3 linked regions of the Mytilus edulis genome follow. The main gene of each other region encodes a partner of the protein of the gene in region 3 in a complex. Links are inferred from orthologs where the notes say so. Each region holds a gene or a part of one and is shown on either strand. Other genes may lie near its edges.

Evidence for each region.
Region 1: transcription termination factor 2-like (region 3) and nuclear inhibitor of protein phosphatase 1-like share a complex: the UniProt entries of both Homo sapiens proteins name them as parts of the spliceosome. The link is inferred for Mytilus edulis from reciprocal best matches to the Homo sapiens genes TTF2 and PPP1R8.
Region 2: transcription termination factor 2-like (region 3) and splicing factor C9orf78 homolog share a complex: the UniProt entries of both Homo sapiens proteins name them as parts of the spliceosome. The link is inferred for Mytilus edulis from reciprocal best matches to the Homo sapiens genes TTF2 and C9orf78.

Annotation. Positions count from the first base shown.
Region 1 is NC_092344.1:126,234,284-126,244,939, forward strand, and holds the start of nuclear inhibitor of protein phosphatase 1-like, read left to right. Parts: upstream 1-6,674; 5' UTR 6,675-6,733; coding exon 6,734-6,801; intron 6,802-10,549; coding exon 10,550-10,610; intron 10,611-10,656. UniProt on the Homo sapiens protein: Inhibitor subunit of the major nuclear protein phosphatase-1 (PP-1). It has RNA-binding activity but does not cleave RNA and may target PP-1 to RNA-associated substrates. May also be involved in pre-mRNA splicing.
Region 2 is NC_092345.1:81,922,375-81,932,402, forward strand, and holds the start of splicing factor C9orf78 homolog, read left to right. Parts: upstream 1-5,098; 5' UTR 5,099-5,173; coding exon 5,174-5,271; intron 5,272-10,028. UniProt on the Homo sapiens protein: Plays a role in pre-mRNA splicing by promoting usage of the upstream 3'-splice site at alternative NAGNAG splice sites; these are sites featuring alternative acceptor motifs separated by only a few nucleotides. May also modulate exon inclusion events.
Region 3 is NC_092353.1:33,963,267-33,973,960, reverse strand, and holds the start of transcription termination factor 2-like, read left to right. Parts: upstream 1-6,260; 5' UTR 6,261-6,317; coding exon 6,318-6,360; intron 6,361-8,199; coding exon 8,200-8,299; intron 8,300-8,570; coding exon 8,571-8,657; intron 8,658-10,273; coding exon 10,274-10,340; intron 10,341-10,678; coding exon 10,679-10,694. Other genes in the region: piggyBac transposable element-derived protein 4-like, read left to right, coding at 784-1,130; NADH dehydrogenase [ubiquinone] 1 beta subcomplex subunit 4-like, read right to left, coding at 3,006-3,077, 4,227-4,370, 5,803-5,961. UniProt on the Homo sapiens protein: DsDNA-dependent ATPase which acts as a transcription termination factor by coupling ATP hydrolysis with removal of RNA polymerase II from the DNA template. May contribute to mitotic transcription repression. May also be involved in pre-mRNA splicing.

The sequences.
Region 1 (10,656 bases), on a different chromosome or scaffold from region 3:
CAAAAACTGTCGGCATAGTCGGGATGATCAGGTACTGTCGGAACGTAATCCTATCAAAGTCAGCTCTATCGCATTGTAAACGGTTGTGTCTTGTCTCAGTCGTATTGTATTCTGTATTTGTCGCCGGGACTCTGACGTGGGTATATCATTGCCGAAAATCGTATTAATAGCGGGGGTATCCCGGAACATTTTCGACAAAGATGGTTCGCAAACAACAAGATCTGGATACAATCTGGACTCAATCGGCAGAAAAACAGTAATGAAACAATGTCTCCAGATCATTCCAGTTCCACAGGACACCATCCACAATACACTAAACATTATTAGGATTTGGATCCGATACAGCAGAATCTGTCACGACGTAGGCACAATGGAAATCCGACTAGACAAAATTGGCTGAGTCTTCCCGAATGTTCTTCTCTTGTATTTAATGCGTGTCCCTCAGTTTTAGTTTGTTACCCCGATTTTATTTTTTGTCCATGGATTTATGTGTTTTGAACAGCGGTATACTACTGTTGCCTTTATCATAGTTTACGGGACGGGTGCTTCGCCGAACTATTTGGACCCTTCCCAACCCGTAGGAATCTGTTGCGAAATCAATCGACTGCATTCAGACAATGATAGGACATACCAGATAATTGAGGATAGTAATCCGACTTTTTCCCTTTTTGTGTCGTATCGCTGACTGATCTCAAACGGGAGCAATAATCGGCAATGTGTAAACCCCGCATAACATTCGGTGAAACTCAATCGATTTTGTCTAGTCGGATTACAAGCGTGACTATGTCGTGACAGATTCTGCTTCATCGGATAAAATGTTAACAATGTTCTGTGTTTTCTGGACGGTGTCTTGTGGTACTGGAATGATCTGGAGAAATTTTTAATTAATGTTTTTTCTACCGAATGAGTCCAGATTGCATCCAGATCTTGTCGTTTGTGAACCATCTTCAAGTTTGTCGGAAACGTTCCGGGATAGTCCCGTTATTAATATGATATTCGGCAATGATACCATGTCAGAGTTCCGATAATTACAGAACACAATGCGACTGGGCCCAGATAAAGTCGTTTGCAATGCGGTAGAGCGGACCGTGGTAGTATTACGTTCCGACAGTACATGATCATTTCGATTATGCCGACAGTTTTCTAACAAATTTAATCCGTCAGAGTCGGTTCACTGTCTGGCCACTGTCTGATCTCTGTTGAAATTACATTTGGTAAAATCGGGACGCAGTTATGACAGATTCGGCCGATTTTTACTATGCGAAAGATACAAATCGGATTAGAATCGTATTGAGAACGTCATTATCGGGACAAATTCGCTTAGAAACATTGGAATATCGATGCTAGCTGAACAGTATCTGATTGTTGTCGTGATTAATTTTAATTTTTATTTTAATTTAAGTTGAATTTCCATCAACGATTCACAGGATCTTGATCACACTTTATACAAATTTTAATCGGGAATGGTCCTGTCAAGGACGGCAGTAAAAATCGCGAATGTGTGACCCCAGCTTAACAGCAGAAAATCTTAGAATATAATTTATCGGTACTAACATTGAATTTGTTTTTGAAAATCAGAACATAACTATATATGCATCACTATATGCATAATTATGAGAACTCGTGAGATCATACATCCTCTCGAAACTGTTTACTCATATTTTAGCTATAAACATGCGTTTATATGACGTGAGTTAATCAGTAAGCACAAGTATTCTTATTTCGGCATTAGATGTACATGCACCTCGTACCAATACTCTGAATAAAGCCGATTGAAACTGATTTGTACAGGTTTTTAAAAATTATTTTGTGCACTTGTGCTCTTACACTTAGTATAATGTCCCAGTTTAGGGAAAGAGTTGAGGGCTCACATATATAACCCCGCATTCTGTTTATCGAGCACCTAGGGCTGCTTTGATGTTACTTTCGTTTGAGCGAACATGGACCAACATCGGCATTTGAAATAGCCCTAATTGTGAAAAGTAACCTCTAGTTATTGAAGTTTTATTGGTTTTCATATTTTTTTGAAACTTTATTTCATCTGGAATATATCTGTTTTATATATCATTTCATCTGGTATAACGTTGAAATACATAGTCTTCAACAGAAAAATTTCCGTAAGATGTGCGCTGGTTAAAACATTTGAATTTTAGCTTTAGATGACTGATAATTTTATGGTCTGCTATTTAGACAAAGTTTACAGATACAAATTTGAAATATCATACTCAAAAGGGTCGCTGATGCCATGTCGAATACCTTAAAACGAAAAGGATTTGTGACGTTTTTGGCACCGATTTGTACAGTTATTATTTGTAAAAGAGCAACAACTCGACTTTGGTTAAAGGTATGATACATTTAGAGAAAACTTATTTAGTAGGATATTAAGATTGTTCTGATTCTACGGAACATACGAAGGCATGTATTAATTATGCAGATTTTGGATTTTCATTTCTCACGATGGAGAAAATTGAAGACAATTTTGCAAACGATATATTGTCAGATGGTTGAATGAAAACAAATATACGGCTGATGTGAAATATTTCTTAAATTTTAGAAGATAAAGATAAGAGAAGATAAAGATAAATGATAGTTTATAAAAGTATCACATATTGATCTACAATAAAATTACAAACCAAAATCATAAAAAAAAGGATCAATACCCAGCCTATAAAGACTTACGAGACACTGTATACAAACAAAGGCTATTTCAGTTATACTGAAGGAAAATGTTTATAAAAAATAAAATCTGGTATGAATGCAAACCATGCCACGGTTCAAATCAATAAATGAAAAAAACATGTATGACAACAACCAACGAGATACCTCATTTTCCTATATTAAAAAAAAACACACACAAGTAATATTATTATTCTCATGATTCAATCCACAGGCAACTGTCTCAGAATTTTTTTTCCTATATACATTAATATATCATTAAGGTACCAATAGGGAAACAAAATTGGAGACAAGTGCCTGTGATTAAATCACATGTAAAAGCCTAATTTAGGTAAATTACAGGTGAAATCGCGAAAACGTAATACCATTTCTTAGAGCAAATGTAAGGCTTGTCATTTTCAAATTCGCTAAAAGTAGGTCGCTCATAATCAGAGGTTTGATATAATGCGTGATATACTTGTAGTATACTTATTTCAATTGAGAATTATTTTTTAGCGAATTTTAACATTTGAAACAAAAATAGTACTTTCAAACTTTAGGGAAGATCTCTTGAAAATAGAATACTCTACCAGAAGTCATTATTATAATGTATAAATCAAAACATGACCTGACACCAACATATTTATCCAATCGTATTGTGACTACAAATAGTAACAATCGTACAATACTTTTATTAGCAGATAATTGTATTTTCCCTAAATTAAATACAAAATAATTATACAAATCAAGTTTTTCCGGCTTTTCTTTTCATAAAACTTAGTGTGGAATTCACTATCCATTGAAATTAGTAAATAAAGTATATCTGCAATCAATTACTCTTACAAGTCTTTTTCTAAAGTGTAAAATTTATAAGCTACGCCACAATGTATACCGTATAGGTGGGTTTTTTTTTTGTTTTTTTTTGTTTGTTTGTTTTTGTTTGTTTTTGTGTTTTATTATTGTTATATATATTTGTGTTAATATACATCTATTGTTTATATGTGTGTAATAAGGTTATAAGATTAATTATGTTTACTTAATTTTGTTCATGTAGTTGCTATTGTATGTAGAGAGCCTTATTGAAAATTGGTTTAATGCAAACTTGATGAGTTACTCTCTTTAAAAAAGATATTATTATTATGTCACCCTGACGGAGGTCGGGTGACATATTGTTATTGTTCCAAATTTTTATTTTTTTTAAATTTTTTTTATTATTAATAATGATTATTATTTCACTCTTTTTGTCCAGACTATTTCTCGGAATTGTATGGACCAATGATGATTGATGGAACTTTATCATAATGTTAACCCCCATGTGTAGATGTGCAATCGGGGGCTGGCACTTTAAAGATGGCTGCCGTTGTCATGGAAATCGAAACTTGTGAATGTGAAAAATCGGAAAGTCTTCCAAACTGATTGAAGCGTTGTGGAATAAAATTATAATTATTATCTGTCTGTATTGGTACCTGTATGTGTACGTTGAAGACACAAATTCTGACTTTTACTCAACGGGAGAGAAAGACACCTATTAACGGTGTTGGTGAGCAGCCTTGAAGCTCTCAACTGTATCTGCGCATACAATACGGTCTTCCAGTTGGTTCCAGTGTAGTATGCTCTTGACAAAGATAGAGTTCTTATATGGATCGGTGCTGCTAGGAATAGTTTCTAGTGCCTTTAGAATTGTTCTTCACTGAATTTGTCACTATATTGGCACTTACAAAATTGTCAAATGTTTTGGGTTTGATTTTCCTCTTAGGTTTACTTTTAACAAGAAAATCGTCGGGATTAAGAGCTGAGACCAACACCTCAACCACTTTGTACAGAAATACCAGCCGCTGACTTGTTCTTCTCGTTTGTAGGTTGTCTAGTTCCAACTCGGCTAGTATTTTGGTTACCGACCCCTCTTCTCTAAACCTATAGTCGCCTGTAATGAATCTAGCTGCTCTGCATTGTATACTTTCAATTGATTTATATCATGCTGTGTATATGGTATCATATTATGGCACCATATTCCATAGTTGATCGTACTAATGATACATATGCGGTCATTTTGCAATCTTTTGGGCAGAAGTGTAGATTTCTTCTTAGAAAGCCGAGTGTGTAATTGGCTTTCTTGGCTACATTTGAGATATGCGTGGTCCATTTTATGTCTTCTGATATTTGTAAGCCTAGGTATGGGTTGCGTTGGACTTGTTGTAGTACATGTCCGTCTAGGCTGTACATCATCTGGCTTTTGTTCTTGATACTAAGTATATAGCACTTCTTTGCATTGAAGCGAATGCCCCAGTTTTTGGTCCATACTTCTAGGTTTTGGAGGTCTCGCTGTAGGAGTGTGTTGTCATGTTGACTATTTCTGTTCCTGTACAGGAGGCAGTCATCTGCGAAAAGTCTTCACAGAAGATTGTACTGAATCTGGAAGGTCGTTAATGTGGCAGAGGAAGAGAAGGGGTCCTAGTTCTGTACCTTGTGTTACACCGGAGTCAACTGAAGCTTCTTCTGATTCCTCCCCATCTACGACAGCTTTCATTTTCCTTTGGGTTAGGAACATCTCCAACCATTTGTTTAGTGGTCCTCTTATACCGTATTCATTCATTTTGTGCAGCAGTTTGTAGTGTGGCACAGTGTCAAATGCTTTGGAAATGTCCAGGATATCTACATCAATTTGTTTCCTGCGTCAAAGGCTTTCATGAAGTCATGTAGTGTGACTAGCAGTTGGGTTGCACAGGAATAGCCTGACCTGAAGCTATGGTTTAGTGATGTAAGTACTCTGTGCTTCTCTAGATGATTATTTTTTTTAAAGTATATGTCTACAGATAATATGTTCCAGTAGCTTGCATGGTACAGATGTTAGTGATACTGGTCTGTAGTTTTCTGGTGCATGTTTATCTCCCTTTTTGAAGACACTTGATATATTTACGTTTAGCCAGTCTCTTGGTAGTGTACCAGTGTTGATGGATTTTGGGAATATCATTGTAAGTCCAGGTGCTAGTTGTTTTGAGCATTCTTTCAATATACGGTTTGGTATGCCGTCTGGTCCTGATGCCTTGGATGTATTTATTTTTTTTCAGCAGCTTTTCGACTTCATCTGGTCTTATGTCTAAAGGCAGTATTGTGCTTTTTATATGCTTTGATGTTGTCGGCAGAGTTTTGTCTTTGGTTTTCTTTGCCTGTTGATATAGCCTTGTTTTCTTTTAAAACATTTTCCTGATTTTATGATTGATCCAGGGTAGACTGGTTTTAGATTGGATGAGTTTTGATGGTATATGGTTGTCAAGGTTCGAAAAAAGGTCTGTCTTGAACTTGTCCCATAATTCCTGTACTGTGGCGCCTGTATGGTACATTTCAATGGTGTTGGTTGAAAGGATATATATAGTCAGGTCTTTGTGTAGATCTTCCCATTTTGCTTTGGAGTATATGTAGCATTTGCGTGGCTTCTTACTCTGATAATGTGGTTTTATGTCGCAGTCTGTTACAATCATATCGTGGTCAGATTTTCCTGGAGCATTAGAAGATGTTTTGATAAGTGACGGGTTTGAAGTGAAGTTAGTCAGCACTATGTCCAGTAAGTTATTGCTTCTTGTTGGTGTTTCGTGTATCTGTGTTAGTGAGTGTGATATGATAACTTCCATTAGAGCTCTTTGGATTTCCTTGTCTTGTGCATTTTGGTTTGCGGACATGGTGTTCCAGTTTATGTCTGGGCAGTTGAAATCTCCAGTTGGTATGATGGTTTGATTTTTGTTTGAAATATGGTCTAATGATTTATCTAATTCCTTTATAAATGTGTTCCATGTTCCGGTGTCAGTGGCATATAGAATGAGCCTTATTATTATTATTATTATTATTATTATTATTATTATTATTATTATTATTATTATTATTATTATTATTATTATTATTATTATTATTATTATTATTATTATTATTATTATTATTATTATTTCCGCAATATAGTTAAATTGGGGCGGGTTGATAAGAGTGGGACGATTTTTTTAAAAAGAGGGGCGAGTTGGTGAAAAAGCGGAGCTGGTGTGGGTCGATTTTCCAATGGGGCGAGTTGATCACAGCTTACTATAAAAACATGGCGAAGAATCAACACATCCAACAGAATGAAGGCCCGCTGGTCAATAATTTCGAAGTACCGTCATGGTGTGTAACTAATAACGTATTTGAAATTGTGACTGAAACATATGTTATTCATTATTTATGCATATAAATTTAATTTTGACAGTGCATAACATAAAGAGGCCAAACCGAGTGTCTGTAATTCACTGTTTATTCAGTCTCGGGCATTTCTCTTTGTAATTATATACTTTTTTTAAAGGTTCATCATAACAAACGGACAAATATGGCTGTATTTACATTCCAAAAATTACTCTGAGTACAGACTTACCTGTAAAGTTTGAAAAGTTTTAATGCCTAGCATCCATTAGATATAATAAAGTTAAATGCATTTTGTGTTTCAGAAAGATAAAATCTCTTTTGGATTTTGATAGGCATTTTTTTTCCTTCATGCAAAAGGTTTGAAAATTGACCAAGTTGTGGTACAACTATGAGATGCTCCCTCAGGTAAAAAAACGGTTTGTATTGTTTTCACTGTCCTTAATTGACATGGACACCAGTAGTCCGATTACTCTGACGTCCAACGGCTGTTTTGCCAGACAAGCTGGGGCCGTGGGACGTCAGAGCTCGTCCCATATCAAAACGTGTATATTTGCCCACCCAAAATAGATGCGCTGCTTCGTTGCTTCTGGTGCCGACTGACGGCCTTGGAATTATATAAATCGGGCATCAATCTGTTCATTTTTCATTTATCTCTTCATTTATGTTAGCTGCGGAACCGTAGCTCTTATGTCCTTATGTTATTTTTTGACTATTTGCGGACCATAGAGCTACAGATTTTTCCTATTACAAAATGTTCGGAATTGCGACCCAGGTTCAGGTCGCACTTATTTCTCAAAAAAAATATTGTTTATAATCCATGCAAAACTTGTCAATATATATAGTTCGTTTCGTTAGATATTTTTCTAGGATATGACGTACCTATTTATGTTTGAATATTCATTTCCTTAACACTATTATCTAATTATTTCCATTTGTATACATTCTCCGCCTATTTTATTCGGTCATATTGAATCTCTCCGTGACTAGGACACCAGGTATCTTCACAACTTTGGGTGAGTTAAAGAGTTTATCTGAGTCAGTGAGTGGACAGTATCAAAGTAATTCAGGTGTTTGTTTATATTTGCACCTTCTGCAGAAAGGAAAAAAAAATGCCCATCAAAAACCAAGAAAGATTTTATCTTTTTTAAACACAAAATGCATTTAACTTTTATATATCTAGTGGATGCTAGGCATTAAAACTTTCCAAACAGCACAGGTAAGTCTGAACACAGAGTAGTTTTTGAGGTGAAAATACGGCCATATTTGTCCATTTGTTATGATGAACCTTAATTACACTGGTCACTTTTTCTGATATAATTATGTTTCGTCTGAAATGTGAAGCTACTCATAAACATTTGACAAAAATAGTTGTGTTAAGTGTTTACACAATATACATGTACTACTCTGTACAAACAAACCTTAAAACTGAGAAACCACATCTACTTACAGTAACCTGTTTGGTCTACAACTGGGGCTTGTATCATAGTGTAGTGACTTAAGTATACTAATAGATATATAAGAGTGTCGCTGAGTACTCTAAGGTTGAGAGTTACAAGGGTCTGTGTACAGCACCAAATTCCAGGCTCCTACCATCAGGAAACACGTCTGTTAGCTTGGACGTCTATATTAACTCTAAGGGAACTCCTGACCATTGGGAGCTCTCTTGACTAATGCATATTGTGTTTGATTGTACGTAACCGGCGTACTCTACAATAGATGCATTTAGTCTGGAATATGTCAACTGGTATGCATTCTAGACTACATGTTCAAGTCAAAAGTCGCCCAGGTAACACTATATTTAACAATCTGATCTACAGTACATGTACATCTATATGTTGACCTAGTACAAATAATTATGACGTCTTGTAAGGCTATTGTAATTTTTTTCTTTGACGCCTTACTTCGAAGTAAGAAGAAAAAAATTATAATAGCCTTTCAAGACGTCATAATTATTTAGACTATATGTTGACCATGTGATGTTATAGATTTAAATCAGGTTACTGCATCCCAAACTGTGGAACATGTATACAATTCTAGTTTTGATAAAATGCAATCATCACTGATCATAGGATTGAACGTTGATTTCAATTTAGACTTGTATGTATCTATATATAGCTACATTTTGTACATTAATTACCTATATTGTTCTTGACAGTGATCGGTTTTTTTTACCAACCACAAGCATAATGCCAAAAATCTTCAACAAGTCATGTGTAAAAAATGTAAAAAAATGCGAGTTCAAATTATTGGGATTACATGCAATGACATGTATTACCCTGTCACATTTTTTGCATTAATAAAAGCATCGCAATAATTTCTGAATTTACTGAAATGTTTCTGTTAATATATTTAGCTTTTGTTGTAAATTTGAAATTTTGAAATGAAAAGTAATACAGTCCTAATTTTAGAGAAAATGTTCCATTATCTGTTTTCACAGATTGTTGTCTCATATATTATGAGGAATATTAATTTTTGTCGAGCCTGCAACTTTTGTTGCAGAAAGCTCAACATAGGGATAGTGATCCGGCGTTGGCGGCGGCGTTGGCTAACTTTTTAAAAGCTTTATATTTTAGAAGGTGGAAGACCTGGATGCTTCATACTTTGTATATACATATAGATGCCTCATGTTACGAAATTTCCATCAGTCACATGTCAAATGTCCTTGGCCTCATTTTCATGGTTCAGTGACCACTTGAAAAAAATGTCAAATGTCCTTGACCTTATTTTCATGGTTCAGTGACCACTTGAAAAAAAAGTTCAGATTTTTTGTAATGTTGAATTCTCTCTTATTATAAGTAATAGGATAATTATATTAGGTATGTGCGTACCTTGCAAGGTCCTCATGCCCGTCAGACAGTTTTCACTTGACCTCAACCTCATTTCATGGATCAGTGAACAAGGTTAAGTTTTGGTGGTCAAGTCCATATCTCAGATACTATAAGCAATAGGGCTAGTATATTCGGTGTATGGAAGGACTGTAAGGTGTACATGTCCAACTGGCAGGTGTCATCTGACCTTGACCTCATTTTCATGGTTCAGTGGTTATAGTTAAGTTTTTGTGTTTTGGTCTGTTTTTCTCATACTTTTTGCAATAGATCTACTATATTTGTTGTATGGAATGATTGTAAGGTGTACATGTCTAGTGAGCAGATGTCATCTGACTTTGACCTCATTTTCATGGTTGAGTGGTCAAAGTTAAGTTTTTTAGTTTTGGTCTTTATATCTAATACTATATGCCATAGGTCAACTATATTTGGTGTATGGAAATATTTTATGATCTATATGTCAGCCGCGCAGGTTTTATTTGACCTCAACCTCATTTTCACGGTTCATTGCTCAGTGTTAAGTTTTTGTGTTTTGGTCTATTTTTCTATAAGTAATAGGTCAACTATATTTGTTGTATGGAAGCATTGTTATTTGTACATATCTGCCTGGCATGGTTCATCTGACCTTGACCTCATTTTCATGGTTCATTGGTCTTTGTTTAGTTATCTTGATTAATGTTAAGTTTATGTGACAGTTTTTAATAAAGCTTTATACTTTAATAGGACTATCATCATAATATCAATGATTAGTAAATAAGGCGAGACATTTCAGCGTGTGCACTCTTGTCTTATCATCTTATGATTCACTAATTATATATGACATCTTCTGCTGAATTCAGAATCATAATAAAAAAATAGATATAATTTGCTGATTAACATGACATGTATGATATGGGATATACTTTTAGGGCAGGCAAACCACCACCAGGCCTCCATTTGGATGTTGTCAAAGAAAACAAAATGGTTCAGGTAAGCTAGATTTTACTATTATGAACTAAAAAGAATTAAAAAAAAC
Region 2 (10,028 bases), on a different chromosome or scaffold from region 3:
CAAGTAAAGATAACTTTTTTTGTGACAGCGGATAGGATTGTTGCGAATCGTTTGGTAGAAATTGACAAAAAAAGTTTCCAGTATATTATATATTAAATATTATTATAACAACTTTCTGATTTTGTATCAGCGAATATAAAGAGGCTCTAAAGAGCCTGGGTCGCTCACCTTGGTCTATGAGCATATTGAACAAAGGGCACAGATGGATTCATGACAAAATTGTGTTTTGGTATTGGTGATGTGTTTGTAGATCTTACTTTACTGAACATTCTTGCTGCTTACAATTATCTCAATCTATAATGAACTTGGCCCAGTAGATACAGTGGAAAATATTTTGTAAAAATTCACAAAATTTTGAAAGTTGTTAAAAATAGACTATAAAGGGCAATAACTCCTTAAGGGGTCAATTGATCAATTTGGTCATGTTGACGTATTTTTAGGTCTTACATTGCTGTATACAGTTTATCTCTATCTATAATAATATTCAAAATAATTACCAAAAGCTGCAAAACAAGTTTCTCAAAATTGCCATTTCAGAGACAGCAACCTAACAACGGGTTGTCCGATTCATCTGAAAATTTCCTGGCAGATAGATCTTTACCTAATGATCAATTTTATCCTGTCAGATTTGCTCTAAATGCTTTGTTTTCAGAGATATGGGCCAAAAACTGCATTTTACCCTATGTACTATATTTAGCAATGTCGGCCATCTTGGTTCGCGGGCGGGGTCATCGAATACACTTTAAAATAAGATACCCTAATGATGATTGTGGACAAGATTGGTGAAATTTGTCTTAGTAGTTTCAGAGAAGAAGATTTTTGTAAATAGTTATCACAGGTACCAGGATTATAATTTAGTACGCCAGATGCGCGTTTTGTCTTCATAAGACTCATCAGTGACGCTCATATCAAAATATTTATAAAGCCAAATTAGTACAAAGTTGAAGAGCACAGACGATAGAAAATTCCAAAGATTTACAAAAATTCCAAAAAGTTGTGCCAAATAAGGCTAAGGTAATCTATGCCTGGGATAAGAAAATCCTTAGTTGTTCGAAAACCAGGATTACAATTTAGTACGTCAGACGCGCGTTTTGTCTTCATAAGACTAATCATTCTAATGCAACAAATTTGTAACATTCATTTTGATTGGATAACGTCACATATTTACATTGTCAATTGATGCTATGGGACGTACGCGCAAGCGGCTGCGCAGACGTCATATGGCAAACTTTAAATACATTTTTTAACGTTGTTTTCAGTCAGTTTCATTAGAATGGAGATAACAATATTGTCTAACGCGTCGCCAGTACACTTAATTTGCGACCATCAAATCCTCAATTGATGCCGTCGGAGCTTAAAATACAATACAGTTATCTCCTAATTCTAATGCAACAAATTTGTAACGTTCATTTTGATTGGATAACGTCACATATTTACACGCGTTTCATCTACATAAGACTCATCAGTGACGCTCATATCAAAATATCTACAAAGTCAAACTAGTACAAAGTTGAAGAGCATTGAGGATACAAAATTCCAAAGATTTACAAAAATTTACAAAAATTTACAAAAATTTACCAAAAAAATGTTAAAAATTGACTAAAGGGCAATAAATCCTTAAGGGGTCAGCTGACCATTTTGGTCATGTTGACTTATTTGTAGACCTTACTTTGCTGAACATTATTGCTGCAAACAGTTTATCTCTATCTATAATAATATTCAAGATAATAACCAAAAACGGCAAAGTTTTCTACAAATTCAGGGGCAGCAACATAACAACGGGTTGTCCGATTTGTCTGAAAATTTCAGGGCAGATAGATTTGACCTAATGAAATGCAAGATTTGCTCTAAATGCTTTGGTTACAGAGATATAAGACAAAATCTACAGTTTACCCCTATGTTCTATTTTGAGCCATGGCGGCCATCTTGGTTGGTTGGCCGGGTCACCGGACACATTTTTAAAACTAGATACCTCAATAATGAGTGTGGCCAAGTTTGGATAAATATGTCCCAGTAGTTTCAGAGAAGAAGATTTTTGTAAAAGTTAACGACGACGGACGACGGACGCCAAGTGATGATAAAAGCCAGGCCAGGTGAGATAAAAACATTTGTCGAAGCCGTTTATAGCTGACTATATGGTATTGGCATTTCTCATTGTCGACGACCGTATGGCAGGTAACCATAGGAATGCACTTCATTTAAGAACTCTGTTGGCTAGTTGTCTCAGGGGCAATCCTTTCACATATATCTTATTTCATACTAGAATAAGAAACAACTACGTTCAGATTTCATTTCAAATACACATACATGTACATGTATGGCTCATTCAAGATATAATAAAATGTGTCTTGAGTAATCAACAGAAAGCTCCAAACCAAACCACACAATAATTTCGATTAAATTAAAAATGTAATTTATCGATCAAGACACAGAGATCAATTTATCAAAATCTAATACACTGAATCGTTTGGGGTAAACAACCATCACAAATCAGAAAACACTTCATAATCTGATCTGTTGCTGTTTATATTCCAAATTAGAGTATTGATTGAGCTGAAAAAAGTATATATTTATAGTGTACTGTAACCAAAGGAGAAAGTGGTCAAAGTCTTCTACAGGAAATTAAAATATAAAAATATACAAACCTGATATTAAGAATCCATTCCAAATCCAATAGTATTGCTGTACCGGAAGTAGCTGAGTTTGTTATTTGCTTGCCAAAACGTGTTAAAGTTAATGTGATATTAAAGCCGTCTTTTGATGTAGTGTTGTATTTAATTATGTTTAGTGAGATGGTATATATACAACATTTTTAATCGATTTGGAATTGCCTTTATTTTTAAAATCATATTATCTTGAAATCGACATTTGCAGGTAATTTCTAAGTGGAATATCGATCTGACCGTTACCTGTGTAATATTGTCAAAGTCTAGCATGAATAATTCATTTGGGACAGTTTATATAATTCATCACAATTCCAATATTTGACATCTGCCTAGTAAATAACTCGACCTTTATCGGACAATACGTATATCAGTTATATATGTTGTTTTAAAACACATATTTGAAATAGTATTTTTTCTATATTGACAAAGTTGCTGTCAGTGATAGAATGATCTAGAATGGGTTTTCCCAAACATCGCATTTGTCATGTCATAAACAACATATCAAATAATTATAAGTGTTTTGGAGTTTTGGAGTGTGTTTTTGTTTTACTTTTATGAATTGCATTTGACTAAGAAGATCTGACTGGAATATAACACTGTCTATTACTACAGTTTATGAACTAAAACCATATAGAATCGTCTGACGGTCTGCTTCAATATTATAGACCATTATACGACAATTGGCGCAAACACATTATGGAATCTTGTTGATAAATAATGAGAATTGTATAAGTTTTGTTTTATGTATTGTCCATTTTGTCATTATGATTTTGTGGTTTCAAATTTAAAATCCAAACCTTAACTTCATATAGAAACAGTTTATTTCTGGATTTGTGTCAGCTATTTTCTTCCTATTAATGCTCTAGATTTAAAGCTAACCGAATTGACATTTTAGCAGTAACCTTTTCATCTGCTGTTGCATATCATAATTTTTAAGCGAATATTATAGAACAATTCAGATAAATCTGTACTGAGTATTCAGCTAAGATTATGAAAACTTTACATATATAAGCGGTAACAGGCATGTTATAGACTAGCTAGCTCTACGTACACCAGCAATGCCCACGCCACACTAGTCGAACAGGACAAAAAACAACTACGAAATATAAGTTCTCCAGCAAGGAAATGATAGTAATGCCATCGTATTGTTCAGGAGAATTTTTGTTAAAGTTTATGTTAAATAGACTCAATGTAGATAACTGATTGGACAGTCAAGCTTCAAACATTTTAAATGCTCTGACAAAAGCAAAATGATTTTCACGAAACTTCAAAGGTTTTAATTCCTTCGCAATAAATGTTTGTAAGCCCATAACCTGGGATAAAACTTTAAAACACACTAATCTATACAAATCAGTTCAATATGACATCGAAGATCCGTAAAAAACACTATGCAAGTGAAAATAAAAACAACATACATGAATTACCGAATTAAGAGTACTCGCCTTCACTGGAGCCGGTCAAGTTCAAATCTCTAGTTCAAATAATAAATAAACATCTGGTGTTCCCCCAAGGAACAGTTAATGCCCTATTCTGTTCCGTGTGTATATATCAAACACGAGAACACTTGAGTTTTTTTTTTTGGGGGGGGGGGGGGGGGGTAGATCACACCATAATTTGCAAATCAATACGAAAATAAAAAGACCGTTAGATTCACTGCCAGATTTGCCCATGTCATTCCATCCAGAGAAGTGTTCGGTCATTGAGATAACAACCAAGAAAACCCCATTAGAATTCAACTATACCCTTCAGCAACATTTGCTGCAAAAAGAAATATCCACAAATGATCTTGGCTAAACAATCCTTACTGAGCCCAACCTAAAATGGAACGCATCCGTGATCTTCTACAAAATCATAGATCATATTGTAGTCATATACCCGACAGATCTACTTAGTACGCAATCTGACACAATAAAATGTCAACATTCACACATGTATACCAATATCTGTTCTCAACAAACATCTAAACACTTAAATATGATCTATAGTAAAAAAAAAACAGAAGAAAAGGGAACTTTATGCATCGGTTGGAATTTTTATTTCATTTTGTATATATTTAACTGTAAATAGAAATTAGATCCCACGCACCCGCTGGCTTGTGGTATTAGTGCCCGGGCACCTTATCATCAGTATATTGGTGGTGTGCTGAAATATAAAGAAGAAGAATAAATTAAGTGTCGTCGATCACGAGCAATCATGCACGGTATCTAAACCATGTTATAATATTGTAAAAAAAATATAGAATAATCTGTTGATATTTGCCGCTGGTCGATAAATAACCACCATATTTTAATAATAACTATGCATTGACCTTCATTTATCTATATATCATTATTTTTCGTGAAAAATTCCTAAATATTAATTCAGAAAAAATACAATATTCGGAATAAAACCGTGTCCGATCCCATCCGTACAACTTTTATTGTGTTACATCGATTACCTCCCTTGTTAAAAACTAATAATGTTCGTATTTTTTTGCCAAGAAAGTTGACCTAAGTAAAGAAAGATAGATGGAGGTTTTTAAGAAGAAAAAATGTAGAGCAATCAGAAAAAGACGTCACTCATCAGAGAGCGATGACAATTCGAACGAGGATGCAGATGACATTGAGTAAATAATTAGTTCATAACAAATGGACAAAAAAATTTTGTTGGTGAATTTTTAGTCCGAGATTACTCTGACGTCCAACGGCTGTTTTGCCAGACAAGCTGGGGCCGTGGGACGTCAGAGCTCGTCCCATATCAAAAAGTGGATATTTGCCCACCCAAAATAGATGCGCTGCTTCGTTTTTGGTGCCGACTGACGGCCTTGGAATTATATAAATCGGGCAGCAATCTGTTCATTTTTCATTTATCTTTTCATTTATGTAAGTTTCACCTACCTGCCAACTTTCATTTTTCCATATTTTAACAGTTTTCACAGAGACCCATCGATTTCTGAATTTTGACTTTCACTAGTCTTTAGTCTTTAGTAAGTGTCCCAAATGACACTGTAAACACTTGTGTACGTTTCCTCTTTTGTAGTTTCTTCACATATGTAATGTTCACTCATGTACTTAATTGAAATTGTGGCTGCTGCTTAAAAAATTTTGACTTAATTTTGATATAGATTTATAGTGTTTTTTGCTGTATAGTGTTTTTGAATCTACCAGACTCCTTTAAATAATTTTCCAGATGGCACAATATCTCATTTCGATTGTCTCTATTAATTTCTTCTTCATCGATTCCTAATAAGGTGTCTAAATCCATGTGTATATTTCCTGTAATGAAGTAAATAGATGTTCTCATCCTCTCTCTAGCCTCCTCATAGTTAGAACAATGTAAAAGGTAGTGTTCTACAGTTTCTGGCTCTCCACAGGAACAGTTTTTGTCTGATGATGGTATAATTTTGGATTTATAATCATTTAGATCACAATAACCTGTTCTCAAACTAGAAGTAATTGAAAACGACCATTTGGATGGTAAATCTTTTGGTATTTTCTGACAGACTTTTTGATGATAGTTGTAATAATTTCTGCCACGTTGACTTGATTCCCATTGGTTTTGCCATTTTCTTAAAACACTTTCTCTTGCTGCACGTTTTATATCCTGCCTGGTTACTTCTGATGGTTCTTCTATTTTTTCAGCTTCTTTAGCTCCTTTTTTGGCCAGTGAATCAGCAATGTCATTTCCTTGGATATCAGCATGACCAGGTGTCCATTCAAAATTTAATGGAATTCCATTCATCTTTAATACTTTCATGTTTTTCTTAATTTCTCTTATGACTTTGATGTAATTCTCTGATTTCCAGTTTAAAGTTAAAATTCCAATTGAGGTCTGACTATCTGAAAAAAGTGTAATTGAGTCTGTGTTTTGTCTGTTTTCTGATATTAAAAAGTGGTCAACAACAAGTTTAATGGCGATCAGTTCTCCTAGTAGTATTGATCCTTTTTTGGATACAGCTTTACTAATTTCAATTTGTGGTTGATTATTTGATGGAAAGATGACAGCACCTGCTCCTACAGGGCCAGGACTACCAAGACAGGACCCATCAGTAAATGCTATACATGAATTTGCTGGAAGATGACTTAGTTTTTCCATTATTATGTGTTTTCCAACATTTTTTTGGTCTGTTAATCTTGATTTGGAATTTCCAAGGTTTTTCCAATAATCTGGAGGAGATTTATATCTTTGTATCCCATTAAACTGAAATTCTGCTTCTATACCATTTACATCAACACCTGTACATACCTTCATGTCTTCTGCCTGAAGAATCATTTTTCCCACTGGAGATACATATTTTTCAGGGATGTCAATTGTTTTCCAATCATCCAGGATTTGTTTTATTGGAATGGAGATATCATACGAAATAATTTTTGCAAGTGTACGAGTTGCAATTTCTTCTCTACGCAGATGTATTGGTAGGATTCCAGAAACTACTTCCAAAGTCTCTACACTTGATGTTGGGGTAACATTAAGGCATATAGCTAATCCCTTTCGTTGAATTTTGTTCAGTTTGTCTGTTATATTGGTTTCACAGGTCTGCCAAACACTACTTGCATATTCTAAGGTGGAAAGGACAATACTTTGGTAAATTTGAAGTAGAATTTTTGTAGAAATTTTTGCAACTCCTTTGATCATTCTAAGTAGGCTAATTGCTTTATGTGCCTTTTGTTCTACATTTTCGATGTGTTTGAGAAATAATAGTTTTTCATCTAACGTGACTCCTAATATTTTTGGATTACAGTTATATTTTAACAATTTACCTTCTAGTTGTAAATTCATTTTCTTTATTGGACCATTCCTTGAAAAGATACAATATTCTGTTTTCTCAATACTTAAATTAATTCTCCATTTTTTGGTCCAATCCTGGATTATGTTAAGATCCTTTTGTACCTGTTTCTCCATGTCATTCAAGTTCTTTCCATTTATCCATACATTACCATCATCAGCAAATTTGCACTTTTTACATGATAGGTTAGCAAAAATGTCTTTGATAAAGATATTAAAAAGAAGTGGAGCTATAACTGATCCTTGTGGGAGACCTATTTTGGTTTCAAACCAGCTTCCTTTATGGTTGTTAATCACACACCTTGCTTGTCTTTCCTTTAAAAAATTGTTAATCCAATTCCAGATGTTACCTTTAACACCGTTATCATAAAGTTTTGTTAGAAGTCCTTCCCTCCAAACACTGTTGTATGCTTTTTCAAGATCAATAAAGACTGCTAATATAAATTCGTTGTTATTGAAGGCATTAAAGATGTTTTGAGTTAAACTTAACAAGGCATTTTCAGTAGAGCGATAGTGGCGAAACCCTTCTTGTTCTGGATCCAATATGGAGTTGGTCTCTATATAACCTTCTAGTCTAGATGTTACTACTCTTTCCATAACTTTACCCAGTATACTTGTGAGACTAATTGGACGATATGAAGAAGGGTTATTATATGTTGACTTTCCCATTTTCCTTATAAATTTAACATTTGCTAGTTTCCAAGGTTTTGGAAGTTTTCCTTCTTCCCAAGATTTGTTAAACACATATGACAACACACTGTATAAGCTTTCATCTGCCTTCATTAATAATTCTGAAAAAATTTGATCAGGTCCAGGTGCTTTGTCATTTTTTAAACGTTGAATGGCACCTATTAGTTCATCTGGATCTATTGGTTCATTGTATTCTTTTTCTTCCATTTCCTGGTCAAACATTTCTTCACTGATGTTCTAATACTTCTTCATGATCTCTTCATAATGGGTTTGATCAAAGCTGCTTGTTTTCAGATGATTTCCTTTAAAGTATGTTTTCTCAAGTTCTTCACATTTCAATTGTTCATTGAACAGCACCTTTCCATCACAATCTATAAAGGGTAAAACAATATTATTTGTTGTTTTCTTTGTCATTTTTTTGAAGGCATTCCATCTGTCTTTGGCTGTACGAGCATTTGTTAATTTTTCACCTAAATGTTCCCCCCATTCTTCTTGGGCCTTTTCTGTAATCTCTTGAAACTCTGATTCAGCATTTTTCAAAATTTGAAAATTTTCCGGTGTACATGTACTTCTAGACTTAAATCGTCTTTGGGCTTGATTAAGTTTTCTTTTAAAGTCCTTAACTTCCTCATTCCACCAAACTGGATGTCTATGGGAGATCAGTTTTCTTTTTGCAATCTTAGGTATTGCATCTTCCATACATTTTTCAAATTCAATTTCAAACCGTCTATATAAGTCGTCTGTTTTTTCACGATTGACATATTCAAATGATGAAAAAATTTGCTTTGTTGTATTTTTCCATTTATTCCAATCAATTTTCTTTAAATTCCAGATTTCTTCTGTTGTTTGATTGTCCTCAATCTTTTCCTCCGATTTTACATCTAAATATACAGCAATATGGTCAGATTTAATTGATTCATGTGTCAATGTTATACAATCTTTAACTTCATTATATATGTTTTCTGAAATAATTGCTAGGTCAATTACACTTTGACTGTTTCTTCTTGTATATTGTCCATCATTTACACAAATTAAATAATTTTCTGTCATGCATTCTTCTAGTATTAGCCCATGACTATTATCTTTGACATTATTCCATTCAAGGCTCTTTGCATTGAAATCACCAAGCAAGATCAAGTTTTTTAATTTTGATAATTTCACAGCATCACATAAACTTTTCATTAGAACAGCTTTTTCTGGAGGTACATACGGCACCCACAAATTAAAGATTTTATTAGATCTGTCTTGAATTTCCAAACAGACCATTTCAATTGTATCAAGTTCATATTCTGATTTCCTCTTGCAAACAAAATTTAGATTTGGTTTAATTAAAATTGCTGAACCGCCTCTGGCTTGGCCTTTTCGAGGGGTGGAATATACTTTCCAGTCTTTGTAAGTTACCGGTGTTGAAGCAGTTTCAAATGTTTCATTCAAACACAGAATATCTATATTATATTTTTTCATAACTTTCAAATGGACGTCAAGTTACGAGAGAGTTTGTGGCCTCGAGACTCAAATATGCAAATTTTGTAGGAGATCGATGTTTAACATTTAGTAGCCAACCACGATTTTTCACCTCCTTTACAGGAAATCGGTATTAAGCATTTAGTTCCAACCACGAGAACAATCGAAAGCTCTCGGACATTTAGATAACTTGCATCGTAAATGAACGAGGTGTTACATTATGGTCATTTGCATAAATCATCACTGTTTTCTCATGGTCACGTGATAATCTTTGAAAATGAAAAGCAAAATGCAGAAATCGATGGGTCTCTGTGAAAATGGTTAAAATATGGAAAAATAAAGGTTGGCAGGTAGGTGAAACTTACATAAATGAAAAGATAAATGAAAAATGAACAGATTGCTGCCCGATTTATATAATTCCAAGGCCGTCAGTCGGCACCAGAA
Region 3 (10,694 bases):
ATTTCTTTATAAAATAAGGAGAATATTGATTGACAATGAGAAAACTATCAACAAAAGTCATATGAAATGGATCGATTCAAATTTTTATATATCGAAATGGATTAAAAGATAATAGAAAAGCTACATATAAACTTGTATAGTTGTTACAGCAGATTTCAGTGAGTATGTAGCTAAAGGTAATCTCTTTGGTTACCTTGCTTGTTAGCTGAACCGTGAAGTCATTGTTAGGTTAGCTAAACTTCCCTCCTTTAATAGTAGACTTGCCCAACAGAAAACCAATCTATCTCACTGTGGGACTAAGCTACTTTAAAAGGATGGTAGTATAACTTACCTAACAATAACTTCACGGTTCAGCTAACAAGCAAGCTATTACCATTAGCTACATACTGACTGAAATCTGCTGTAAAGACATCACATAACCTGTATAGTTGTTCAAGAAGTGAAATAACCCTAATATATATTTATCAGTAACTGGCCTTCTCTTTCATATATTTTTTCACCTGGATTTTTTTTTTTCGAAATGCATTTATTTATTCGTGATTATTTCAATTCCTAAATGCGTGTATACAAGAACAAAGGTTAGACACATTGTCATATGCTGAAATATTTTTTTGAAATGTTTTTTCTATCATTTTTCTTTATATTTTTTGCGTATTTGACATGTATCTTAATCGAACAAGCCTAAATTCATTTTGTATTCAATTTTGTTTTCTTCTTTTGATTTACTCGTGGAAGACATTGGTACGTATATTAATATGTATTATTTTTATTCTTCGTTTTCAGTTAATGCCTTCATCTGTTACAAAAGAACTTTTGTTGTTGAAACAAAACTAGACCATTTAAAGTTCCAACAGCAATTATGTCAGGATTTGATAGGAAATCATAGAGATGGAAGTAGAAACCAACAAATAAGAACAGTCAGGCTGGAGCATCGACAGTTGGGCAGAATAACTGAGAGGCATTTCCCAGAAAGAATACCAGATGGTAAACGGAAGAAATGTGTGGTGTGTGCTGGGACAGACAGATTCAAGAAATCCCGTATTCAGTGGTGGTGTAGAATTTGCAAAGTTGGACTCTGCGTCGGCAGGTGTTTTAAAAGATATCACACCAGAATCAACTTTGAGGAATGAGAATACAACTTTTAAATGTTGAAAGTTTTTGTCTTATAGATCAGCATGCAATAAAATCTTTTTAATTCTTTCATAATTGTTTTTATAATTTTTTTTATAATACAATGATTGGCAACTTCATGATGAAATGTTTGATTTTAAAGGCTTCTCACCATAACAATAAAAAAACAGTAAAATTCTGCTCTTTGTAAATATAATATTTAATGTTCCATATGCGTGCCATGTCCCATGTGTGGTCTAATTATTCCATTAACGTTAACAAAGTGCATGTGCGTGTACGTCGCATGTTGACGTTACGTTACGTATAGTTTATAGTAACGTCATTCACATATGTATGGCAACGTAACGTTGTAACAAAACAACGTCCCGGCGCTGAAAGGGTTAAAGGTTGAAACAGTGAAATAAAGCAAAATTTTATAAAATAAGCATACGAGACACCCACTTTCCGAATGAATGTCTTTATGTCAGTGCAAAAGCTCAATTTGAGCTCATTTTTAATTGTTACTAATATTTGTTGCCATATTGTTTGACCAAATAAATCAGACAGAACTCCGTCATTACACTATCATACTATACATATAAGTAAACTTTCTTCCACATTTGAATCAGCAGTTTTCATCCCATATTTTTTTCATATTTTTCATATACATTTTGTACTGCAATTTAAAACTTGTGGCCACATTGTTAGGCTGTAAATTTTCAGTTTCAACATTATGTGAGAATTTCACACCAGTATTTTTGCCATATCAGGTTTCAAATGGTTGAGAATTTCTCAAGTTTATTCTTCTTATTTCCTATAAATCAAGTGATTGGCTTATTTAGCATCATGGTTCCATACATTATATGATTAAAATGGATATAAAAATAAACCCGCAAATTTGTAATTAAAAGATTTGCGGAAGTTCCAAATGTTTGTGACAGTTGGACTACAGAATACAATGATGGTAAACTAAAGATTGACATGAAGTCAAATGACCTGTGTTTCTCTGCCTTCATTTTTTTTTACATGAATAAGGTTCTAGATATTAGATCTAATTCCATTTATGAATTCATCCAGCTTTTAACCAGATAACAAGACATCACACCTTGTCTGCATTACTGATCATGATTGAATATGATTGATTGATTAATTGATGGTTACATAACATCCAGTGGCAAATGTTCAAGACAAGATATGTATCAAGTCTTTAAGACAAAAAATTAACTATGAACTATGAAAGGTAGTGATAAACTTTTGAAGATTTAGATATCAAGTCAGTACCTTAGGGTTTTGATTGCATTCAATGCAATCCTTACCCAAAAATATAAATACTCATCCCTCACAGCCTAATGTGTAGTTAAAGCCAGGAAGATGTTATATGATAGATTTAAAATACACTGTAAAGTTTCAATTTCTAGTGACCAAAAAGGTGGTTGCACCATACCTTAAGTATCACAAACATCAATTATAGTAAATAGTAAAATGGTAAAATAGCAAGCTTTGAGGAAAATACAAGAAAAAAATCCCTCAAATGGCAAAATAAAAAGTTCAAGCTCTTCAAACAAATGATAAACAACTGTCATATTCTTGACTTAGTACAGGCATTTCCTTTTGTAGAAAATGGTTAGTTGTGTACACCTGGTTTTATAGGAGTATTGGTGAAACATCAATAAACTGGTAGATTAACTTGTATAAGCTTAACAATTACAGAAAGATGGATAAACAATACTCAATTGATACCAATTCCACTAACATGAAGGCAGAATAAAACAAACAAAAACACATCTTGTTTTGAGAGTTGTATCTCATTCCATACATGTCATACAAACAATCAACTTCAATAAGTGTCATAAACAAAAATCTAATGAAGAATATTTACTGTCAAATTTACAAAGTTAATACACATATTTCCAAGTCCTATCTTTTGCTGGTATTTCTCCTGCCCTGCATTTTCTTTCAAATTCTTGCTGCAAGGATAAAAAAATATATTTTTATATGACAAAGAATGCATGGTATAATCAAAGCAGTCAATTACGGTTAACTGGGATCAGTTGTTGGCTGTCCCATTTACATTTCTTGTCCTATTTTCCCCCATGTTTTACTGAGTATTAGTCCATCACTGAAGATCATCTGAGGAAACCAGATATCTTGGTCATATCTACTGAGATTAATTAATGTTGTTTGATCATATATCTTATTTTATCAGAGATTTTATAATCATATTATTCATATTTCATAATAATCATTTATAATTTTCTCAAGGTATAAAAACAAACAAGTTGAGTCAAATCAGGTGCTTAATATTGTTCATCTGTCAGTTCAGAATATTTGTAAATTTGTGTTTACAATCTCATCACTCTCATGTCAGTATACCAGAAGACAATAAATTATGATTGAATCTACTGTATTTATATTTAATGCCACATGGACATTTAGGGATACATGATTTATTTAGAAGCTAATTTTAGCTTTGAACTAGCTCTCAGTAACTACTAGCACTCTCAAATCTGCACTTTATATCTCTAGTGTCTTTAAGTCAGTTGACGAATGAGTTGTTGTTTATACTTTGCGTCAATGTTATGAATCAAGCCATTTCCAATTGGTTTTCAGAGTTTGTTCAAACATTGTGCTATTAATATATAAGTACTGTGATTGTACCACTGTCCCTGGTAAGAGGAGGGTTAAATGCTGCCACATGCATATTCCATGTGTCTGTTAAAAGTCAGGAGCCTGTAATTGATTCAGTGGTTGTCTTTGCCTGCTGTTTGTCACATTTGTTTTTGTTTGTTGTTTATTTATTCATTTTTAAAATTGTTTAACATAAAGATTAGGGCCTTTTATATAGAACTAAAAAGATTGGGTTTTTGTTCATTGTTTAAGGCTGTATGTAGACCTTTAGTTGCTTATACAATTTTAAAAATCCTCTTCATTTAGATAGTTGTCTCATCAACAAGCATGCATCTACTTATGTTATAAAGTTGTTTTTGTTTACTTCAAATTTAAAGAATTATCAGTTCTCATTATTAGTTAAAATCGAGAAAAAGAGTCTTATATTTTCACAATAATAAAAGTAGCAGACTAATCACTTAGCAGAAAGAATAATTTTTGATACATACCCTTGTGTAATAAACATAACTAAATAACACTGCAGGAATAACTCCTAGAAATAAACCACCAACTAATCCAGTTTTCTTTGTTGGACGAAAATGATCATACTGTGTCGCTTTCAATGCTTTAAACCTCTGTATTGCTGGATCAAACTGAAATTACAATATGGGATTTTTTGTTGATTATGATTTTGTAATTTTCAATACTAAATAAATACAATTAAAATGCAGCTGAATTCTTCCATTCTGTTATGGGGAATCTCAATAATTAACGACAAGAAGAATAATCTAGCAAAGGGAGACTTACTTAGCGACAAGAAAACAAATTTCGTCAATTTTCTTGACAAGAAGTCTAAATATAAATTAGTCACTCAAATAGATATTAAACATTAAATTGAAACATGCATCAATGTGTGTGTGTTTTTTAATATATTTACATTATTTTATTATGCTTAATATAGAGCACGATAAACATTTGATTGTTACAAAAATAATCAGATTAATACATGCATGAAAAGTGTGTAATGGTGTATAAAAAACTATCTGAAAATTCACTATAAGACGTAGTGATACATGTACACGATAGTTACAACAACATTTAAAAATTTATAAATACAACACATAATCAAGTATGGGCTTTGCTCATTGTTGAAGGCCGTACAGTGACCTATAGTTGTTAATTTCTGTGTCATTTTGGTCTCTTGTGGAGAGTTGTCTGATTGGCAATCATACATGTACCACATCTTCTTTTTTATATATATAATTCATTGATCATGTTGACCTTTTTCGATAAATATATTGTTTATAGAGATTTTTTTCATGCCAATAAAGTTGTCTTTTTGTCACTATTTTATTGTACTTGTCACCAAAAAATATTTTATTGAAACCATGTCTGACATGCATGTATACATGTTGAAATATAATAAAGTGTTTTTTTCCAATTTTAATTTATTAAAAAAATGTATATAATAAGAATATGACATTAATGTACAAACATCACCAAGGGGAAAAGCAACTCAATACACCTTATCGCTATTTGTTCGCCATTACTGGACATCACACAGGTTCCTGTAAATGTTGACGTCATAATACAAAATTCTAGATCAAAATTCAGACCCACAATAGAAAAGTGATTGTTGTATGACGTCACTAGTCCAAGTGGGACAGATTCTCTGGTCAGCCGGTAATAGCGATAAGGTGTATCTGATAGCGCACTCCCCAATATTATAAAAATAAAACAAGGGGAGAAAACTGGATACAAGTTTAAATCTGAGGGTTGTTACTTGTAATGGGGGCTAAGGGGTTACCTTCATAACCAATTAAAAATGATATAAATTCTTGACAAATGTACCTTGTGTTGTATTTAGGTATTTAGAATGAAAAAAAAATCTGAGACAAGTGGATGCGATTCCTATCCTCAAATATACATTTGAAAGATAATTTTTTGCAATGTGTTTATATATATATGTTTATTTGTCCAATTTGGCATTTTGTTTTGCTAGTCCGAAACTATTTTAACAAATGCATGATCTTCAAAAGTTTAGTACAATATATTGCAAACAGGAATAGTTATCTATGAACATACTGGGAATTCTGCTTTGAACGGATCAGTGACCTTCCTTTGCCATTCAGCTTTTAGAGCAGCTCTTTGCTCTGATCGCCGCCGTATAGCGTCCATTTCAGCATGGCTTAAATCATACAGTTTATGTGGATCCCATAATTGGACCCGTTTCCTTTCTGTCATCTCTAAATACTTAAATAGGTTAAACTTCTACTTTAGAGAAAAAACATTACAGCTGAAAAGTAAAACCGGAAGTAAACCTAACAATTGTGATTGAATAAAGGCAAGGTTATACCAATTGGTCAAAACTAATGAACACAAATGTTCTAATATTGATGTGGAATAAGATACTAATTCATCATGGCCATGAGAACATACTAGTTTGGCATATTTTTGTTAGTTTTAAAGTGGATGTTTTTATTTCTGTGCAATAATAATATCTCTACGTACTTCACGGCTCTACCTTTTATTCTTCAAAGTCTCGCGGATATTCGCGGGATTTATAAAATTTGCAGTTTTTCAAATTGAAAGTAGACCTAATGAGTAATCTGAAAATGGAGGAAATAAAATGCACAGAACATAGTATGGTTATGTTTGAAGTGTCTCAGAAATTTTTTAAGTCTTGAATAATACACAAAGTACTTAAACACCATTTATTTTCAGACAAAGGTGCCTGCAGAGCCAGTGACAAATACTTGTGAAATAGAAAATAAAAAAAAACCATGAACACAAATTATGATGGAACATAACTTGTTAAAACAAAATATAAAAATTCTAAATGGTATATTGTAATGTACATTGTGACGTCACAATTACTTTGAAAAATTATGCAGGACTGCCAAATTATTAACTCTTGGACAATAGACAACTTTCGTGTTCGATGCATTTCCGTTAAAAACTTTGGTTTTAGTAAACTTCATTCGTGTGTTATAGGGTATCGTCACTTCCATTCCAATGTTGAACGAGTGGTTGGAAAACTATAAAGCTATATTGCGTGAATTATTTGACAAATTGAATTCTCATAATTTTCTTTCAGCACTGCTGTCATTAGGAAATATTAAGTACCTACAGAACAAATCTTATTTTTAGTTTATCCTGCACAATGACGATCACTAAGAAGCTTGATAAATGTTTATAGTGCAGGGATACAGGCGATCCCCTCTATCTGGTAAATGACGCCATAAAGGCGTGCATAATTGACGAGTTTTCTCCGGTGACAGACAAACTTGGAAGTGATCTATTTATACTGAATACACCATAACACTATAATTTCAGTATTTGGAAGTCTGTCCCGCTTGACCCTGGAATTTGTCCCACTTGAAATGTTGATGTTATCATGGTCATACAACAATCACTTTTCCATTGTGGCATCAGATATATTCAATTATGATGTCAAAATTTTTTACGTGAACTTTTATGATGTCCAGTAGTGGCGGACATATAGCAATTGGGGGGGGGGACACGTACATTTATATGCGCGAAAATTTCTATTGATCATGTTGATCTATTGTTTTATCTCTATGATCTTTACTTCAACATGTTCAAAGGCTAAATCTCTTGCATTTTCTTCTTGATAACTGACAATACTGAAAATGCATATGACATTCATAAAACATGATCTGAAATAAAGTATGTTTTGATTTTGAGTTGTCAAACTTTATATGAATCAGATGTGTCTAGATTGCTTCCTTTGATCATGTTGATCTATTGTTTTATCTCTTTAATCTTTGCTTCAAAGATCTACTCCCAGTGGAGACAATGTGATTTTCTGGTAAGCAATATGCTATCCAGTTACACAGATAAAGAACATTGAGGGAAATCATCATGATCATATGTACACCTTGACAGATTTAACAATCTGAAGTAATCTGCAGATGTTTGCCAATTGTCATTTTGATATATCATATACAAATTAATGGGAAGTGATCTGTAAGGATAATGGAAATCCTGAAAAAAAACCTTTAGTTTGGTTGTTGCCATATCCTTCTGCTTCTTCCTGGTAAAAAATCCTATATTCAAACAGTGCTCTCCCCAGGTCCTTTCTTGAATGTGATGCTTTCTTAATTGATTTTCTTATAGATCTTGTTATAGACATATGATGGATGTGAGGCTATAATTTTTTAAATAAAAACATAGCATTTCAAATTTTGAATAAAACAAAAAAACGTCTTTGCATATTGTCTAGCAACACAGAAAATCTAACTTGGTAAAATTAATTTTAAATGTTGGCAGTAATAATAATTAAAACTATGTTCATCATCGTTTTTTTTCCTTTTTAATATCAGAGCAAAAAAATAAATATAATATACATCAATAAACGACAACCACTCACTGAATCACAGACTCATGACTTGCGACAGGCACATACAGAATTTACAATCAAGTGCATTATTCATTTTGTTAAATTTATACATATTTCAGAACAACTTTGCTATTTGAAGACTGGAACTAAAGCTGGACCTAACTATGGAGTTAGTTTCTATGTGTGTCCTCTATCATGTGGATTTTTCAAACAAACACAGTATGTATAAATAAAGGATTAGAAAGCAGTCAATTATTTAGGATTTAGTAAAATGTCAACCAGACCATGAAATAATTTTATGTTTGCTAATGTAGTAACATTTGCTTTTCATAGAACATCTAGATACATCAATATTTAATATAATGATGAGGTAAATTATGATCCAGATAAAGATTTTATTTTATTTCAGTACATTTTGAGACAATATAATGGTGCCAAATGATGTTTATTTATATTATTATCACAGTAAATTATTTCCAATTCATTTCAGAATTTCTTCCACAAAGTGTCCTCAGCATCCAGATGAGATTGTAGATTTACAGGCAATATTTTTTGGCAAGAGTTCTGGTGAAAAAAGGTATATTGGAAATTTAAAAAATTATAGTACTGTAAATTCATTATTGTTCGTTGGATACCAATTTTCGTGGATTTCGTGGTTACAGATAAACCCTGAAATTAAATGTTCAACGAATGACAAATTTTCTATAAGCTTGTATGCAGACCTTGGCAGAACCACGAAATGAAATATCCACAAACATTCAAGTGTTCCTTTATCCACGAAAATTGGTAGCCACGAAAATAAATGAATCTACAGTATACTATATAGGTATGTTGTTTTTCTACTTTGGTATGAATACATAGAGATTTGGGGAAAACAACACAATCAAGCGTAAAAAAAACTCTGGATGCATTATTATTAACCTGTACTAATTTATCATATGCCCTATAAGTAAATTACATTTGTAGTTCTAATTTAAAATGGTAGAAATGTTAAAAAAATTGGAAAGAGTTTTGAATGTAAATTGAAATGAAAATTTGAGGTCATCTTATTTTTTTAGAAACATAGATCTAATATTTTTTGGGGCAACAAACAAAAAATAATCTACAGAAATTGACAATATTTAAAAACCACATTATCTATATCAAATATTGTCAGGAAATAGAAATAGAAGTGATCAGAAGTCGTTCTTCTTTTATGCAATTTCACAAATAGTGTCAAATTTGATTAACACGTTGTAAAGAATTGCGCTAATATTAACGTACCTTTTTGCGGTACGGCCACTATCTTTGTGACGTCGCGTAATTGTAATACTTTATGTTGTATTGAATAGAAACGTATAATGGCAGACGTAGTTCTATCTTTAACGCCTTATTTAACTTACGATCAAATACACAACGCAACGCAATAGATAGACTTGTAAAAGTGTTAAACTATTCAGACGTGAACAGTTAAAAAATATTGAGAGACTTTAACTATAATTTTATTTCATTTATGTCACAATTGATCAGACATTTAATTTCAAATTTACGAATTTTTCATATTGTATTTCAAATTTGAGTTAAATATCATTTTCTGCGGCCCCAGAATGTAAAGAATTGCGCTAATATTAACGTACCTTTTTGCGGTACGGCCACTATCTTTGTGACGTCGCGTAATTGTAATACTTTATGTTGTATTGAATAGAAATGTATAATGGCAGACGTAGTTCTATCTTTAACGCCTTAGTTAACTTACGATCAAATACACAACGCAACGCAATAATCTACACACGTATACTGAGTAATATCTGATTAAATTATTCCCCTATCTACATTGACCACATCTGCAAAAGCTGTTTACCTTGGAGAATCAATAAGCCTATTCGTTTTTTTAAATGTTTCATTTAAGAAAAGGATAGATTTTTTTTTAGAGCAAGTACATTTTCTGAAAAAAATGATAAAGTTTAATGTTTCTTTTTGATGTAACATGTATCAAAAGTGAAGGTCCAAGATGACAGCCACTTAATATCCCAGGTGAATGCTTTCTCTACCTTAAGATATTTTAAGTTTAAAAAAAAAAAGGAAATTAGTTAGAGATTAAGTGTCACACAGAATGGTAAATGTCTCTTATCTAACCCTTATACATTGTACATTTTAAATGTGCTATAATGATTCAGTGGTGAGAATAGTTTGTAATCTATTATGTATTTTAAGGAGATACCACAGGTGTCATGGAAGAATTGCTGGACAGTCTTGGTGTGGCCATAACTCAGAGAAAAAGGTAAATTATAAATGTTAAAATCAAGTCTTGACATATTTTTTTCTATTTATTATCAAATATTTATATTAATAGTACATGTATTACCGAAGAATCAGTACCTTTGTAGATTTTCTTATACATGTATGTCATGCTATTTGCTTATTTAAACATGGGTAAGTTTTATATTAGTCAATTTTTAAACACCTTGCTATCTAAATGCTCTGTGTTAAGATAATGCCAAATATAATGCCTACCCATCTCCAATATTTATTGGAAGCTGTAGTATCTGGGTCAAAGGACATTTTTCTATTATCTACATTTGTTAGATTAAGTTATCATTATTGAATTTTACTTTTCAGTCCTCAGTTAAGCCTT